Linked DNA regions of Drosophila melanogaster. The protein of the gene in region 2 interacts with the protein of the main gene of each other region in a pairwise test. Each region holds a gene or a part of one and is shown on either strand. Other genes may lie near its edges. The genes, in order: CG3061 and Ddr.

Region 1 (5,350 bases), on a different chromosome or scaffold from region 2:
TATTAGCAAGGCAATATTTGTATTAACAACATCCTTTTTTTTTATAATTTACAGGCCGTGGAGCAGTTTGGCAACCAGCGTAACAAGGAGAACGAACTGCGAGTAGCCAAAGAGAAGGAGCTCCAGAAGGTCCAAGTCAAGAAGGAGGACATTGAACTGATTGTACGTATGCGAAACTACAAGGAAGTATTCCCTTTCATTGTAGAGATACAAATATAGTTCATTGCATTAGCTCCAGTTCCCTTAGATTTCCTCCTTTGGTTTCCCATAGATAACTTTCTTCCGATCTTCCTTTTGTAATGGTTTCCTTCCCCTCTGCCCTTTCAGATGAACGAGCTGCTGGTTAGCAAGGCGCATGCCGAGAAAGTGCTCCGCGAGCAGAGCGGCGATGTGGTGGCCGCCTTGGAAGCCATCATCAGCAATTGAGGTGCTCGTGGAATCCGAAGCAATCCGCCGTCTGTTTCTTTTATGTAGCGTAACAACACACTGCTTTATTTGTACATTTATAAACTCTAGCGAAGAAAACAATACAAAACAAAAAGACTTTTAAGCCCACAAATGAGTGAGAGTGCTTACATCGTCTAAACGAATTTATTTTGGAGTTATAATAACTTGCAATTTTATTCAGAATATCGCCACTGCCCATGCGTTCCGTGTCCTTAAGAAAAATGTGATGATGCGTCGTATCCGTGTATAATTTATGTTTATAATTTATGTATCCGATTGCTAAATGAAACAAACGCAAAGTCCTTCGTCTCAGCCGCCCACTTATATTCGTAAATCGTGTAAATATGACTTTTTGGCAGTTGCGTTTGCTTCGCTTTCACATATTGCCCGATTGCTTTCTATACGAAATGAAAATGCTACCAAACGTTATTGGGGAAAACCTGATGCCTCATAGCAGCTCTATACGTTTCATTCCGTTTCATTTTTTTTTTTGGGGGAGAGAGGGAAGGTATTTAAATAGACATATAAATTATGAAACAAAATAGACAATGAAATTCATTTATAACAACTAAAGCAAAATATGCAATAACTACACAACCCAGCAGTTAAGGTTTCAAATAGTGGTGGATTTGAGGAGTAGCTTTTCGTGTGATAGCATTAACTAATTTATGTGATTAAATACTTTTGCAGATTCTCGCACGATGGCGTATTGATGTTCTGCGCCTTTCTGTACAGATCCCGATCGCCAAAGGTACGCGCCTTGGCCAGCATTGAGTCGCCTGTAAATCGTTTATGTTAATATCAGTTTAGTATAGTTCCTCTGCCTAACTTACGATAATTCCTCTCTCGACTGCAGGAGTGTTTTAGATGATTCACAAAGTCCTCTTCCACGGATTCCTCTAATCGGGCCACTGATCCCTGATATTCTGAATAGAAGTTGTCCTTTACGTAGTATGGTACCTTCAGGGAGTTCGTCTCACGCTTCACCGAATATTTACTGCGGATTAGAGAAATGAATCCACATTAGTGCTAAGCTAATTTTTAATTTGGTTTGCTTACTGAGAGGGCGTCAAGCTGTACATTGGGTCCGAGATGAAGAAGGACGACATCATGGAGAGTCCAATGAGCAGCACGATGGGCAGCAAGTTTACCAAGGCCGAAGAGTTGTTACCCTTGATATGGAGATAAAAGGCAGTCGTTTATAATGTGCACAAATGATTTCGACTCGGTACACTTACTTCTCGATCCTCGCGAGCCTGCTGACGACGTCGCTGCTGCCGCATATGGACATTCTGCTGTGGGAATCCGCCGTTGAAGAACATGTTGAACAGCTCCTCGGCACTGATGTCAGCCTGGAATCCACGCGAATATCCATACTCGTTGTTGTAGTATTGCCCGTGTCCATGGTGTCCGCCACCATTGTTGCCGTGACCATTGTGCGACTCATTGATGCCATACAGATCGTAGTTCTTGCGCTTTTCGGCATCCGTAAGTACGCCAGCAGCATTGCCGAGAGCCTTGAAAGCCTCCACCGCACCAGGAGCCTTATTCTTGTCGGGATGCAATTGCAGAGCTAGCTTCTTGTAGGCCTTTTTGATCTCCGAATCAGTGGCCGTCTTGCTAACGCCCAGTACTTCGTAGTAGTCCTTACATCTAATACCAAATGCACAAATGCAATTAGTAATGTGAAAGGCTGGCTATATAGAGTGGTACCTACGTTTTGACCTTTCGCACAGCTTCCAACTGATCTTTGGTGTAATCTGGGGCACTGGAACGGGAATCCGAGTTCACACGTTTCCTCGGCCCGCTGTCCTTCTCATCGCTGGCACCCGCTGTACGGGATTTGCCATTGCTTTCGTTGCTCGGAGTGCTCTTCAACTGGGCAAGTAGCTCTACAAGATGGAAAAGAAACACGTCAGCAGGTCAAAGGTCAATATTCATTTAATGCTGTGGCATGATGTTGTTGATCTGTTGTTAAGTTTTACAAGGACTTTAAAACAAAGGTGCTGCAATAATGCTCTTGTGAAAATAATGAATGCAACGCATCTCTTGTATTGTGTAATGACTATTACTTTACTGCTTTTCATCTTTAGAATATCGTCAAGGCTGTATGTTAAAAGCTAATTCGATAAAGATCGTACCACTCTACCTGGCTTACCCACGAAAGGTGCGACATAACACAAACATAACTTGGTTGTTTCTACTGATAACAAGCCTCAAAGATAACCGCTTTTAAAAGGCAAAGGGAAGCATGCTTGCCAAACTAAATCGCATCAATTGATATGGGAATGTGAACGTAGTTGATCCAGTGGATCTACTTCCTTTGTTATCCTTACTTTTGGCATTATCCGTAGGAAAGAGCCTCTCCGCCTTGAGAAGGAACTTCTCGGCCTTTTCGATTTTGCCCGCGGCGAGCGCTTGGACCGCGAAGTCGATGCACCGCTGGGCCTCGTCCTTGTTTCCGTCCATGGCGCCTTAGTGCGTAATCACTAGTTTTAGCTAGTTAACTACGTGGTGATCAAAGTAAATAGTGAGGCTCCGCTCTCTTTATTTGTGTGCGTGAGCGTGTGACGTCTATGGGCTTACGCACCAACACACACGTACGCCTGCTGGGTTCTGGGCTCGAAAAGCCTTGTTAAACACGGCTTTTTTTAGCCTCCCACCTTGCACCTTTTTCACTGTGAATTTGCTTTTCACTACACTTTCAATTTAATTGATTTATTTCGGTCAAATTTTTCGTCAGCCGAGAAAAACAAGGGAGTTGCCACCCAGTCAAGGCAAAAAACACGAGCAGAGATGCTTTCATATGCAGGCTGTGCTATTATATAGCTTGTTTTTATTGCTAAAATCCAGTCACCTAATATTTTAAGAAATAAATAAGAATAAAAATCGTAAGCATATTTAAAACAATTTATGAAAAATTTAAATTTCTAAATATAATTGTATTATATTATTATTATTAAACTGGAACAATCAAAAAGAAAATATATAAGCAGCTAGCTATAAAGTAGTTGGCTGGTAAATAGCCAAAATTAGCCAAGTGGCCAGGCAGAGTTGCATTGCCGCAGCGTTGCCGGACCGCCGGCGACAAACATATGTATGCGTTCGTGTGGGTGGTAGCGTGTGAGTGTGTGCCGCAGCATGGGAAGCGAGTGATTCGCTGATTCGCCAAATTCGTCGTATTTACTTGGAAATTTGCAAACTAATAGCCAAGGGTCGCCGCCGAACGAGTGCAATCGAATTAGATGCAAAAATATCCGTTAATTAGGTGCATTGCGGCCGAAAACGTCATCGCCGCGAGTGCGACAGTGTGCGTGTCCCCAGTGCGTGCGCTCTCGTGTGTGTGTGTATGTGCGTGTGTGTGGCGCAGTTCACACAACTTGGCCTGGAAAAAGTGAAAGAGTATTTTTTCGGCCATATTGTGTTGTCATAGCTGGAAAAAGTGCATTTCCCGGCCATATGGAGATTCAGATCATATGCGAATAAATATTCGCTGAGCCAAAGTTTACTCAGAATCCCCCCAATTTCGAGTAAATAGGGCGACTTATGTAAAGCGGAGAACGAGAAACTATTTACATTTACAAAGGTGCGTACGCCCGTGTGCCTGTGTTTGTGTGTGTGCGTGTAACTGTGTGAGGGAGAAGTGCATCCAATTGATATGTTTGTCCATATTTTCATTACAAATTGCACGTTTATTATACGGTTTACATGGTTTAATTACAAGACTAGGAGCTACTTTTTGAGAGACAGACGCACGGGAACACCTGATTTGGGCATCAGCGGTATTCCATACACGCCGAACTCAATCTCACACTTTTCCTTCCGGATCTCCAGATCGAAGTTCGACAAAACCTTGGCAATCGCTATCTTCACATTCACCTTTCCCATGCGGGCGCCTGGAAAATAGACGGAAATTTCTTAGTTTCCATGGGCAATTGGAAAGAGATCGGTGGGATATAGTGGATTTGAGTATTACTTATCTGAAGTATTCAAACTCCCATTTCACCCTGTTCATGTGGAACCTTTCTTCTTACCGATACACATCCTGGGTCCCTCGCCGAATGGCAAATAGGCCGCCTGGGTGTAGTCTTTACCATTCTCCAGATACCGTTCCGGTTTGTAGGCAAGCGGATCGGGGAAGTACTCCTCATCGCGGTGCATTCCGATGAGGGAGATTATGATGGGAGTACCCTTTTGGATCACAAGTTTGCTATCGGGCACAGGATAGTCCTTGGTGCAGATTCTATTCAGCAGTGGCAGAGCGGGATATTTGCGAGCAGTCTCTGTTAGAAAGTATACAATATTAAACCATTTATAAAAAAAATATGGAAAATATATATGAAAGAACTGCCATATATTCCCATCAAAACTTACCGAGTATACACGCCTCCAGATACTTCATGTCCGAGATGGCGTCGTATGTCAGCTTTCCGCCATGCTTTTCGATGGCACTGCGAACATCCTCCTTAGCCTTTTCCATCACTTCAGGATTTTGGGTTAGCTCGTATAGGGTAAAGGATGTTGTAGAAGCTGTCGTCTCATAACCGGCAACATAGAAGAGGAATAGCTGGCCGGCAATCAAGTCCTTGGACATGGACTTAACACCATTCTTAGTGCTTTCCGCCGACCAAATATTGTCATCGGTATTGATCTTTCCCTGATTCCGCAGCTGCAGCAGAAGTTGCAGCAGATCCTTGCGAACTATATTGTTCTGTTCCCTGAGATCGACGGTTCGATTGGACAACTCGCGCATTCTTTCGGTGGCCTCCTGTTTCCAGCCGATTTTCACAAAGAATTTCTCCAGCCTGCAAATGGTTGAAAGATATAGGTTTTATGTTTAATTATAAAGTCTATAAAGTCCACCTTCAACTTACCCGGGATACAGGAAACTAGATGTTCCACG
Region 2 (5,135 bases):
AGAAACTTGTGTATCTTGTCCAGCAGGCACGTGATCTCCTTCTGCTCAGCCTCCTGGTACTCCCTCTCCAGATCCTCGGGTACCAATTCACCGGCCAGAACCACGCCCACAATGCGCTCCCCGTCGACGGCCACCAGGGAGAGATCCTGGGGTATGAGCGAGCGGTGTAGCTCAGCCTCCGCGGAAGACACCTCGCTCTGCTTGGGATCCTCCTGGGGGATCAGCATTAGCGGCTCCTGCTTGAAGAAGTGCACTGCGAGAAAGGCCTCGACCTCCTCGTAATCCCCGATTGTCATGGCGCGTATGGTGATCGCTGACATCTTCGCATTTGCCTCGCTCGCGGACTGAGACTGAGAGAAATTTAGCGCAATTTACTTGTTATATACATGCCAGGCCATCAAACATGCAGTGAGCTTGCGCCATCGTCTCCGTTCTGAGCTTTTCACGAATATGGGGCCCTCCTCCCAACGCACCGCCCACCTCCCACCGCCCAACCACCCACTGACCCGACGCACAGTTCTTATCAAAGCTTTTTTTCAAAATGATGTTCGCTAAACAAGCGGCCCCGAGGTTGAATGACACCAGTTTTGTTGTTCTGAGCGTGTGAATAATGATCTCAAACCATTTAGCGGTCCGATTGACGCCACCTGATTACGACGAGTCATTATACGGTTTATATGAGACCCCATATGTCTCGTAATACGGATCTTATCATTGGGTTAATATCTACGGAACATTATATGTAGCTATTTTACTTGCCGGTAGATACTGATCTCAAGTGTAGATTGCGCAGCTTTAGACTTAATATGTTTTTATATAGAGTGTATAACGGGTAATTCAAGACAGGTATTTTTAGGCAAGTAGTCCACTTGTGGATGGCATTTAAATATAATTTCTACCCGGCTCGAACTCGACTATAAGATACTCGTTCTTAAACGCAAGCTGTACCCTACATATAAAAAGTGATAGATATAATAAGCATCTGTTTAATCCTGAAACTGTAGCTCTGATAACATATCAGGTTTTCAGGATCCTGAAGTTCACACGGATTGGAAGCCACTAATCACCGGGATATATGGGTTAAAATTGCTTCTCAAACTTGGACAAAAGTTGTTAACTTGAGGTCTGTAGACGGCGATTCCACTCTCAAGTGGTGAATAATATTCCAAACAATGAGTGGTCCGGTGAATAAAATTGAACAGGTTTAAGGCAGGGCTTTGCTTTTGCATTTTGCGTGTTTCAATGCGAAACAAGTCGGTGGTTGAGTTCCCACCTTCTGTTCGACGAATCATTTGGCTAAATTATGAATCGCTGTTCAAACTCAAAATGCAGGTCATTAGTGCAATTTACATCAACCCCTTTTTAGTTTGCCCTCGTGGACTGTCACACGCACTTTACTGCACCACATTAACCCTTTGTTGCCCATCGCCGTTTTGCATTTTCCGCCCCCTAGTTGTCTTTTTCAATTATTTGCGGGGCTTGGTAGTCGTTGAACCCGTTTGAAGTTTAAAATCATTTTTTTTTATTTATTTATTTACTCTACGTGCAGCGCTGTTTTTTGATATCGCTCGCGGTCTTTATGGGAATTTAATTAGATTTAAAAGCCATAAACAAAACGCTATCTCGCTCTGGTCGCTTTTTAAGGTTGCTTTTACTTGGCATTTCGAGTCGCAATTGTTTTAAATTATTGGCATTTAATTTGTTGCGTCATTTTCAAGGTTTCCACATCCGATGACTTCAGTGGGGAAAACGAAAACGAATTAAAGTTTATTGAAATCGATTTTCACAGCGCAGAGCAAGAGCATTTGTAGCCATTTTGCGCGTTTCAAGTTTAATTTTCTATTTTTATTTTCGTGTTGATGACAACACCCAGAGGGGCTGGCTAGGATGGCATGGGATTTCCCGGACTACGTGACCCGCTTAACAAATTTGTGCGTGTTTGGGTTCGCCCAGTCCACGACCTCCAGGATCCGACTGCCGATAGCGTTTGCGCCACCCTCGCTTTATAGTTATTGCACTTTTATCTGCCTGACCATTTCAAAAGTCACTTTTGGCCTCCACTGTCCACTCTTCCATTTAATTAAAAACGAATGCACTGGCAGGGGTCAAAGTTCGTTCCCACGATCACCTCTACGCCTATCTGAGCTGGTATCTTAATGCCTGCGGGTTTTTCAGGCGCTAAAACGGTTTGCTACCTTTTGTTGCCCGAACTATGCGCTTTGTATCTATCACTTAATCAGACATTTCATTATCATAACTTCAAGGTCCCCATTAAACCTCAACTATTGAGCTGTGAATAGCTATAATCAATCCATTAGTTCGTTTTAACAATCACAATAATTATGGCATTTTGGCATGTAAGAAGTTAAGTCGAATTTGCAGGCACTGCGAAATACTAAAGATTTAGTTTATGAGCTCCATTTGAAATTGTTTTGTTAGCAATTAGTGGTTTGAGTTATGTAAGTTAAAGTAGAGCAAAATAATTTAATTTTAAGTTGGAGCACTCAAATTTGATTGGCCGCCGCCAACTTTTCCCCCTCAAATTTTGGCCGGTCTTTAATGGCATCATAAAGCTGTTAGCAAATATTAGGTGCATATTTCGGTGAGCATAGTTTTAATTAGTTTCAATTACTTCTTAAACTTTTTATTGGATTCGTCCCGACCATGCGAATTACCGTTAATCACCCCATTAAGATGAGCTAAAAGCCGAAAAACGAAATCATAACTTTTATTTTCACATAATTAAATCGACATTAGAGGTCGTTTAACTTTAGTTAACTACATTTAAGCCAAACGAGGTTAATTTTCGTGGTGGCAAGCGGGTCGCCAGGGTGGCAAAACTGGGTGGAAAAGCATACGGGCTCACCTGGACATTCGGAGGCCTTTGGAGTCCTGCGGATGATCCAATATTCGCTTGATGATGTTGCACATGGTTAAGTTACCGTTAACACTAATCACCACCAAGGTCGACACACACGATAACCGATAACGATAGTTTGTTGTCGATAGCCGATTGCCGACAATCGATTGCCGATGGCCGATAACGATAGGTGCAACACCGCCAGTTGTCCGACGCGTTGCTCCAGCAAAAGTTTCGCAACGACTACTGGCCCGTCAATTGGAGCTGCCTCAACGAGTGCCACAATGTCATCCACACGCACACAGACGAACCAGCACGGAGGACACCACACACATGCACACGAAAGAGGAAACATTTGCGATTTCCTTGCGCGACGTTTCCTGCTGTCGCAAAGAGTACTTGAAAGAGTAGGTTAAAAGAGCGCCACTCTCTTTCATCATTGGCGCAAACTCGCTCGCATGTGGATCCCATTTGTTTGATGAGAAAAGTATGAGTAGGTTGTGTGAGGGGGAGGTGAGTTGTTGCTGGCACAGGTGAGTCCATAATTCTGGCTTGTAAATACAAATAAAGGTACATAGTTTCTGATGCAAAATTGAATACAAAACTGGACACATTTGCTAAGATAGTTTTTGAAAAGAAAATACCTCTTTTCACAACTTTTCTGGAAAAACTCTCTCGCTAGCGCATTAAATATTTAAAATTATTGATTACATTTCTGGACCTGCTTCACCTTTCACCGCCCAGCCCGCCCACACAAACAAAACAAACTCAACGTTACTTTGTATTAACTTGAACTGTATCAGAGAGTTCTGCAATTTAAGAGCGTGCTCCGCTCTCTTCGACTCTCGTTGTTTCGTCGTATAAGACGGAGCGCGGCTGCCTGTTGATAAGCATTTACATTTACATAAGGTAAATAAGGAGCTGTGGATCCTAACAGCTGAACTCCGCGGGGGGGATGGGGGTCATGTAAACAACTACAAAAGTTTTCGGCCAGCAAAAGAGTTATTATGGAAAAAATCAAAATGGGCTATCGAAAAAATTAATTATCCTGAACGGAAGCGAATGCAACTTTTTTTTAAAAAAGTTTTAACAAAGTAAAGCAACATGGCACCGCGAAATGTATTCAACTTTCATTAACCAATATAGTAATGGAGTTTATTTTTCTACCTTTACAATATTCATAACTCGAGTATGAGAGGTGTAAAAAAAAATGATATCATAAAAAAAATGTAAAAAAGATAACAACAAAGACTTTAAAATTGTCGCAACTAAGAGGAAAAAATAAATATCAAAAGATGCAAGTAACCAATATTTAATTAAGTGGGCTGCTGTTTATGACATTTTATTCAAACAGAGAGTAAAACCCTAAAGGCTTTTGCGCATTTACATCCTTAAATATTGCCTCGATTCTTAAATTTCTTTATTTGCTTGGAAACCAGTTGTCTATTTATTAATCAGAAAAATCAATATCTACGTTTTATATAAAGTAAAATGTATCTCAAAAATACACAAGAGCTCAAGGCAAAGCCCTTAAAATAGAAAACCTACATTGGTTTAATTTTGTTGTATCAAATGCAGTTAAATGTTGTTAGCTTTTACAACATTTTTTGTGCAACAAAAACGTAATGTTTAAACTCTCTAATTATTATGCGTAGTCAATCTTAATAAAAGACCCAAGAAATGTGACACCAAAAATGCATTAAAATTAAGCAAATAAATTACACACATGTGCTTAATTTTGCGTTTAGGGATTATGTACAAGAAATTAGCAAGGCTATGCGATTTTGACATTATTCAATAACAAATTCATCTTATACCTTTTATCTGCACAGGCACACTTTCTGAATAAACATATGGCTGAAGCGTGTATCGCCGGGAATTAGTTTAAAGCAAGTTGCCACTTCAATTAGGGCCATGTCTGGCCAACGAGCGTCTGAATGGCCCCGGTGGCATCGGACTGCTGATAAGGATAACTGCCGAGTTAATCCCCGATGTCGTTGCCAAACATTCAATCACCGGCTGTCAGAAAGTTGCAGCACGGGGGCTTAAGGCAACTTTGAAAATTCCAAAACCCACTAAGACAGAGAGCAATGTGTTTGCAGCAACAAAACAAAATGCATATCAAATTGTTGACTTAATGCAGAAGGGGGAAAACAGATTGATGTCGAGCATGAGCCAAGAGTTCTTATCACAAGTTTTTCCCTACAGCTGTTTGCTTTTCTTTTCACGCTTTGCAAACCGTGAACGATTTAATGTCTGCAAAGTTATCAAACTG

The links.
Region 1: the proteins of Ddr (region 2) and CG3061 interact in a two-hybrid assay, tested with the Drosophila melanogaster proteins (one large-scale study listed by BioGRID).

Annotation. Positions count from the first base shown.
Region 1 is NT_033777.3:14,030,256-14,035,605, reverse strand, and holds CG3061 (uncharacterized protein), read right to left. Parts: upstream 3,236-5,350; 5' UTR 2,917-3,235; coding exon 2,784-2,916; intron 2,340-2,783; coding exon 2,165-2,339; intron 2,101-2,164; coding exon 1,686-2,100; intron 1,620-1,685; coding exon 1,507-1,619; intron 1,445-1,506; coding exon 1,281-1,444; intron 1,227-1,280; coding exon 1,114-1,226; 3' UTR 565-1,113; downstream 1-564. Other genes in the region: CG9922 (uncharacterized protein), read left to right, coding at 55-162, 328-426; Cyp6d5 (cytochrome P450 6d5), read right to left, coding at 4,180-4,343, 4,482-4,730, 4,822-5,252, 5,322-5,350.
Region 2 is NT_033779.5:6,251,061-6,256,195, reverse strand, and holds the start of Ddr (discoidin domain receptor), read right to left. Parts: upstream 3,074-5,135; 5' UTR 2,867-3,073; intron 338-2,866; exon of another isoform or gene 321-337; coding exon of another isoform or gene 1-320. Other genes in the region: AANATL2 (arylalkylamine N-acetyltransferase-like 2), read right to left, coding at 1-320.